Linked DNA regions of Tribolium castaneum. The protein of the gene in region 1 purifies or fractionates together with the protein of each later gene. This does not show direct contact. Links are inferred from orthologs where the notes say so. Each region holds a gene or a part of one and is shown on either strand. Other genes may lie near its edges. The genes, in order: E3 ubiquitin-protein ligase KCMF1; acyl-coenzyme A thioesterase 10, mitochondrial.

Region 1 (3,930 bases):
GTTATGAATTTTTTTGTTGAATAAAATTTTCCACTATAGATATTGCCTATCTTAATTTTTTGCAAAAAACTTTAAAAGTTTACATTTTGTTAAAAGATGGTTTTATACGCAGAATGAGCCGCTGAATTCAATGGAACAAACCGCATTGCTCTACGACTTTTAGTTTTCGAGTTATGAATTTTTTTGTTGAATAAAATTTTCCACTATAGATATTGCCTATCTTAATTTTTTGCAAAAAACTTTAAAAGTTTACATTTTGTTAAAAGATGGTTTTATACGCAGAATGAGCCGCTGAATTCAATGGAACAAACCGTATTGCTCTACGACTTTTAGTTTTTAAGTTATGAATTTTTTTGTTGAATAAAATTTTTCACTATAGATATTGCAAATCTTAATTTTTAGCAAAAAACTTTAAAAGTTTACATTTTGTTAAAAGATGGTTTTATACGCACAATGAGCCGCTGAATTCAATGGAACAAACCGCATTGCTCTACGTCTTTTAGTTTATAAGTTATGAATTTTTTTGTTGAATAAAATTTTCCACTATAGATATTGCCTATCTTAATTTTTTGCAAAAAACTTTAAAATTTTACATCTTGTTAAAAAATGGCTTTATATGCAAAATGAGCCGCTGAATTCAATAGAACAAACCGCATTGCTCTACGACTTTTAGTTTTTAAGTTATGAATTTTTTTGGTAAATAAAATTTTTCCCTATAGATATTGCCTATCTTAATTTTTAGCAAAAAACTTTAAAAGTTTACATAGAGAATAATAGAGAAACTTTATAAAAATTAAAAAATTCGTTAAAGTCCCAAAGGGTGTTGTCCGAACATGATTTTTTTACAGTCGAAGGCCCTATCGAAGGGCTTAATCTTCTGCAAAAATAAAGAAAACTGCAGGATATAAAGGGGGTAAAAAAAATCAGTTTGCATTGCTTGAATATGAGAATAAAAAATGCAGAAATTAAATACAGTTAAGTTTTAATTTGTAATAGAAACACATGAGAATGGTCAGGAGATGTTCTATAAATGTGATATGCAAGTCAGCGTAACAACTTATTGATGTTTTTATAATGATTTACGATTATTTTTGATAATTTTCCTGGTGTGAACTTGGCTGTAGAAAACGAGAATGGTGGGAATGGTGCTAGCTCTATGCGCACAGCGATTGTCTGGTCGACTGTAATGTTCATGGTGCCAGCGCCATTTTTGGTGGTTTTACCGACATGTTACCCGGACGGCGCTAAAGATGGCGTCGCCGGTAAAACAGTAATTGTCATTGTTTTACAAGCTTGTGTTCGGATCAGTGTGATTTTCCAATTTGCAAAATAATTTGTGGTTTCACACTAATTACATGTGTAAATTTTGGTAAAACGTAGTGGAATTAATACACAATATCTGCCATGAGTCGTCATGAAGGTAAGGCTATTGATGTTTACAGTTCCGATGTAATCAATTGATTGGGTTACAGGTGTAAGCTGTGATTCTTGTTTGATTGGAAATTTTAGGGGCCGCCGATACAAATGTTTGATTTGTTACGATTATGACTTGTGTGCGGCTTGCTATGAAGGGGGGGCCACCAATACAAGGCATACGACTGACCACCCTATGCAGTGTATCATCACCAGGGCCGACTTTGGTACGAATTTTTGGTGTTTTCATTCGAACAAATTAACACAATCACGAGAGTTTTGGTAGTTTAGTTGGTCTAAAAACGCTTTTTATTAGATTTCTTCTACGGTGGTGAGGCCTTGACCAGTCTTGAACTGCCTCAGTCCTACACTTGCCCGTACTGCTCTCGTATGGGCTTCACTGATGTAACCTTGCAGGAGCATGTTTCGTCCGAACATGTTGATACTTCGTTTGAAGTTGTAAGTGTGGAAAATTGCTCGTTTTTCGTTTATTAATGACCTTTGGAAGGTTTGTCCATTATGTGCTGCCATGCCAGGGGGTGATCCTAATTTAATGACTGATGATTTTGCCGGACATCTCACTCTAGAACATCGCACCGGCCCTAGGGATTTAATTTCTTTTCTAGACGAACCAGTGGGGACTAGACACAATGTTAGGCGAATTCCCCATAATGCAACTCATATGGGGCGGGGGGCTGCCGCCCTGAGACCCAGGCGGTCCAATATGCATTTCAGGCAAGTGGCCCAAAATTCAACAACGTTTTGGCTTTGAATTATGTTATACAGTGTCCCAGCGAATGTTTCAAATGCAGCACACCATATTTTTTTGCTTTTAAACTGTTGATTTTGACCTAAAAACTGTGGTCAATTTTGCTTAGTTTTCGAAATACAGCCGAACATTAGTAAATTTGCTGAAAAGGAAATTTAAGATTCGAATGGTAGAACACAACAAAGACGTCACATTTTTATTGTTGAACAATCCAGATTTACAGATTTACATTTACAGATTTCCATTTTCTAAGCTACTAAAAATTAGGAAAACACTTCAAAAAAAGCTCTCAACAGTATTTCATATTATCGCCTACAAGGCAATTCTATGTAAATTTTAGGATTACTTCCATTTAAATTATTCTCTCCCATTTTAAATCCACAACAAAAAAACTTTTGGCGCAAAATACATTAAATATAAACTCTTATATTTTGAAAGAAATTCTACACACTAAATTATTTTGAAAATCTCGATGTCAGATTGCATTTTTCCTGGAATGGCTATATATAGAATTTACAATCTTTCAAGCGTTATCGAAGATTTCTTTTGATATATTTGTTCTGATTAATATGAAAACTTGGCTAGTGTTAGCTACTAACACTATAATATAGGATTGTATGAGCTTGTTCAGCACAACAGTGTAAATTTAAGGATTTTACCGCGTTTTTAAAACTAATACAAAAAGCAAATTTATTATGATTTATTTAATGATTTGTTTACAAATTCATTACGAATTCGTGACGCCTCTTGAGTTTCCTAATTCATAGCTGAAAAAAAAATAGTACAAAGTAATTTCATTTGTAAAAAAACAAGTGCACACATAAAAATAAACTTACGTACAAAATTTATTTTACCAATTTTACGGAAAATATTTTTAGCGAGTCAGGAACAACAAATATAAAATTTAAAAAGTATGAACATCAAACTTTTGCACTGACCTTACTAGTAGTAAGTTTATTCAAATATTTTGAGATTGAATGGTCAATTATGTCCCATCTCGCTGGGACAACTGCATATCAAATTACGCGGATAAAAAAGCCAAATATCACAATTTTGTTAAAAACCGTTGTCGGTCTTTAATAATAGAATTTTCTGTGAACAGTGTGTTCAGTTCTGGCGGTTTGTCCTCGCTTTCTCCCTCGTCCAGGGAAACGGTGGACCCCATCGCGGAGTTGTTGTCTCAACTTTCGGGGGTTCGTCGTTCCGCTAGCAACACGAATAGCAGCACTCCGACGCAGCTGCAACAGCTGCAAATGCAACTGCAGCTCGAGCGCCAGCAAGTGAACGCAGCTCGTCAGCAGCTGGAGCGTTTTCCGCGACGTCAAACCCAAAGCCAGACGTCTTTGCGCGAATCTCACGCGTCGTCGAACTCTGGAACTTCGACTTTAATGCTAAACCCTAGCCCGGTTTTGATTCAGCAGCCGTCTGTTAACGCTCCGACCATGCCTTCTCCTCAATCACAGTTCCTTCTGGTCGGGCTGTTAGAGGAGCTGTCGTTGCAGTCAACGACTGATTTGAGTAGGCAAGATCGCAGCCAGTTTGTGCAGGAGTTAGTTTTGTCGTCGGCTGCGCATAGGAACGGTAATAAGGGCTCTAATGAGAAGCCTAATATTAAATCAAAATTGTTTAAAATTGGGGACGGTTCAAGTAAGACTGAAATTTCAGTTGGTGATGAAGCTAGGCCCGTTAGGCAGAGAAACATTGTGTTGAGGGGAAGAGCGAGGTCTGACGCGCAAAATTCGAGAAGG
Region 2 (3,646 bases), on another chromosome or scaffold:
CACGAAGCCAGCCCCGATTCCAAAGGGGGCCAGACTGATCAAAGCGAGGATTTTACCGATGAAGTCACCTGGAAATGTTAGTAAACTGTGAAATGTCAAAACTGAAAGGGGGATTTTTGGGTTGGTAGGACGTGTCCGAAGGTGGTTGGAACGGAATTATACCTTTGGGGTACTCGACCAGGGTTAGGGAAAGCGGCACCCATTCTGTTCTGTCAGTTATATCAGTTGGTTTAGGAAAATTGCCCTCGTTCAAATCAAACGTGGCCATTTTGCATTTTATCGCGCTTGACAGATGGGTGACAGGACGGGACGGTAAGCGTGGGGACTGTTTTGTCGACACTTCATGAAAAAAATACAGAGTGTTTTATATAAATAAGCCTTAATCTCTTGGAGACCTACGCATATGATTAATAAATGACCATTAATAAATGGTCAGTAACATAATACGTTTCATAATTCATAATGCCACTGTTGAAATCGTCGGTAAAAGGGACTAAGATAGTCCGCAAAGTAAGCGAGCTTGTGCTGTTGGTTGTATATGATTTTAAGTTTTGAGAAAAAAATTGAAAAAACATTATTGCGGATACTGACTTGGCAAATACACACCATATTTGGCTGCATATTTGCCATAAAAAAATTCAACTTTAGTGCCTTATCATACTTTGTTGAAACCTTTTTTCCATTTATTTTTTGCTCCACACTGTCGTAACAGAATGATCTTTCTCACCTAAATAACTAATTTCAAACGTTTGATAAACGAATTTGAAATTAAATTTTAGACAGCAATGTAAAAAGCAAAATTGCTTTTTTATTATTTTGAAATTCCCACTTCCCACCTCTGTATTAGTCACGTGACCAGTAATGGCGGTTTTTCAGTTGAGTGTTTTCCCATTGTTTTCCGCAGTGTTTTCGTGTTGAATATTTGAAATTTTCTGTGAAATTATAATCACATTTAACTATTTTTACAAACGTTTCGTTAAGACTAACTTTGTTGTGCTTGTGCGAAAAGTAGTGGCCAGAAAAACGGAGCTGAAATACCGGTAAGTTCTGTAGTTTGTTAGAGTATTCCCTGAGTATTCGTGAATAAGAAAACAAGCCTCGAAAGGCAACTAGGTTATTTAATATTTGCGGTAACTTTTTTGCATTTTGTCGTAATGAGACCACAAAGAACTTTCGAAAATTCTTGTGGTGTCTATGGGGGTCACATCAAATTTCCGGTGAATCCCACACCTGAGAATGATTTAATTTGTGCTTAAAAAACTGATCCAACAGTCCGAAAGGATTAACTCATTATCATGGATAGGCATCTGAATAATATGCAACAAAAATTGTTTGAATATTTAATTCGTAAATGAAAAACAAAAAACAAAGTTATCTGTGATTGGTATGTTGGAGCTACCAAGATTGTACATTAAAACTACCACAAAAAGTTTGACGTAATACCGAATCGGAGGTTACGTTTACAAAATGACGCAATAAACTTTTTTGCAACAATTTTGCTTGTCACTTTTTGCAGTATTATTAAAATAATGGCCTCTAGATTAGTACGTAGTTTATCAATCACGAACCGCTTAGTGGGTTCATTTAAATACAAACCGTAAGTCTGACACAACCTTTGAACCCCCGTTCTAATATTCATTCATAGTACTGTCATGAGTCGCTGCTGTTCCACCACGCCAGCCGACAAGGTGTTAACAATACAAGAACGTAAGTTCCCTCATATTCCAACAACCCGCCAAAACTGCATTTCTAGTAACCGTAAATTTGGCGAAAGCTATGGGGGTCGATAGTGGGTTTTCCCCCATCCGGGCCGACCGATCTCACCTCTCCGAATACCTCCCTACAAGCCAAAGCGAACTACCGCCACGAGCTATGCGTGATAGTTATCTCGTGGCCATGATACCCCTTTCGACCAGTACGCGGCTCCAAGACCGGTATACAACGTTTCTGGGGTACGTCCGGGTCGGGCGCTTACTCGAAGACATGGATATTTTTGCCGTGATGGTGGCGCAGAAACATATACTTAACCCGAAACTGCCCGAAGGGACACCCTCTCCCCAAACTCTAGTCACCGCACTGGTGGACAGAATCGACTTTAGCGACTTTGTCCCTAAACCTCATGAGGATATTAAGATTTCGGGGCACGTCAGTTGGGTGGGGCGCTCCTCCATGGAGGTGGTGGTGTGGCTGGAGCAGAAAATGTACGGGACGTGGCACAGAATCACGAGGGCTTTGTTTCTGATAGCAGCCAGGGATCCGACCAATACGAAGGCAGCAATGGTCAATGCGATAGAGCCGGCGGATGACCGCGAAAAGGCTATACTTGCTGGGGGGGAAACCCGCAAGGCTAATAGAATAGCCTTAGAGAAGCAACACGTGTTGAAAGTGATACCGGATCATGACGAACAGAGGATCATCCACGATTTGTATTTGAAAACCAAGTCCAATAAAAATCTAAGTTTCACCAACATGGTACTTCCCGCGAATGGGGTCTGGATGGAAGACTGTACCATCTCAAATACGATTTTTTCGCAGCCGGAAAACCGGAACCTCCACAACACGGTTTTTGGAGGGTTTATCATGAGACAAGCGGCGGAACTTAGCTGGGTTCTTGGGTTCAAATTTAGTAAATACAGGCCTAAAGTCAAGAGTATTAGCGATATTAAGTTTAATAAACCAATAGCTGTGAATTCTCTTATTCATATGTATGCCCATGTGGTCTTTACTCAAATGCAATTTATCCAAATTGTGGTCTATGTGGAAGTTTTTGATCCACAGACGGGAAATACTGACACCACGAATGTTGTACATTTAACTTATGAAGTGCCTGAGATTGTCAGGGAGGTGTATCCTCGGACTTACCAAGAAGCCATGATGTATATTGACGGCAGAAGACATTTCTTCGAAATTATGAAGACTCCATATGACCATGATAACGTGTTAAATGAAGAAGGAATACGCAATAAAAGCAAGCTTTAAAAGGGTTGGGTTCTTGGGTATTTAGTTTAAATCGCAATATGTCATAATTAACTCGCTTTAAATTTCCTTGTTCAATTCCATGCGCAATCATATGTGATATTAACAGTTTTACTAATTTTAATTGTAACTTTATAAAGTTGATCGTTCTTAATTGATTTGTTTCCTTTTTTATTTTTATTTATTTATTTATTTAATAAATATTGCTGGATAAATAAGTTTTCCTGACATCGCACCCGAGTTCTCCCAATAATAAATAAACAGAAAAATTTAAAATAGTTTATTAAAAATTAAATACACTTGTGCACAATGTTTTATAAAAAGTTTTAAAATATAAAAACATCCAAACAAAATAGAGTTGTATCAGTACTAGAGTGATGTGTACCATAAATCACAATAAATATAACAACGATTAAATAACTTAGAAACATTTACACCTGCACAAATTTACAAAACCGTACGACCTAAAAGCTTGACTTATTCGAAAAATGGAAGAATCGACTGAACTAGGCTAACCTTAAAAACTTAACTTATTTGGCAGTTCTTTGTTGTTTGACCCAGATGATTTCCGGACTGTACGTGTTCTCGGGCTCCCGTGTGAACTTAATCACCAGCTCTCGCGACCGCATCAAGAAGACCAACTTCGCGAACAAGTCCTCTTCCATCCTGT

Evidence for each region.
Region 2: the proteins of E3 ubiquitin-protein ligase KCMF1 (region 1) and acyl-coenzyme A thioesterase 10, mitochondrial purify together in Homo sapiens (affinity purification with mass spectrometry; 3 studies listed by BioGRID and IntAct, with this or other methods). This does not show direct contact. The link is inferred for Tribolium castaneum from reciprocal best matches to the Homo sapiens genes KCMF1 and ACOT9.

The regions. Positions count from the first base shown.
Region 1 is NC_087403.1:4,743,434-4,747,363, forward strand, and holds the start of E3 ubiquitin-protein ligase KCMF1, read left to right. Parts: upstream 1-1,229; 5' UTR 1,230-1,404; coding exon 1,405-1,420; intron 1,421-1,472; coding exon 1,473-1,640; intron 1,641-1,729; coding exon 1,730-1,872; intron 1,873-1,921; coding exon 1,922-2,148; intron 2,149-3,284; coding exon 3,285-3,930. UniProt on the Homo sapiens protein: E3 ubiquitin-protein ligase which accepts ubiquitin from an E2 ubiquitin-conjugating enzyme and then transfers it to targeted substrates, promoting their degradation by the proteasome.
Region 2 is NC_087398.1:5,411,774-5,415,419, reverse strand, and holds acyl-coenzyme A thioesterase 10, mitochondrial, read left to right. Parts: upstream 1-1,413; 5' UTR 1,414-1,529; coding exon 1,530-1,597; intron 1,598-1,645; coding exon 1,646-1,707; intron 1,708-1,753; coding exon 1,754-2,979; 3' UTR 2,980-3,130; downstream 3,131-3,646. Other genes in the region: dolichyldiphosphatase 1, read right to left, coding at 1-68, 163-268. UniProt on the Homo sapiens protein: Mitochondrial acyl-CoA thioesterase. Catalyzes the hydrolysis of acyl-CoAs into free fatty acids and coenzyme A (CoA), regulating their respective intracellular levels. Regulates both mitochondrial lipid and amino acid metabolism.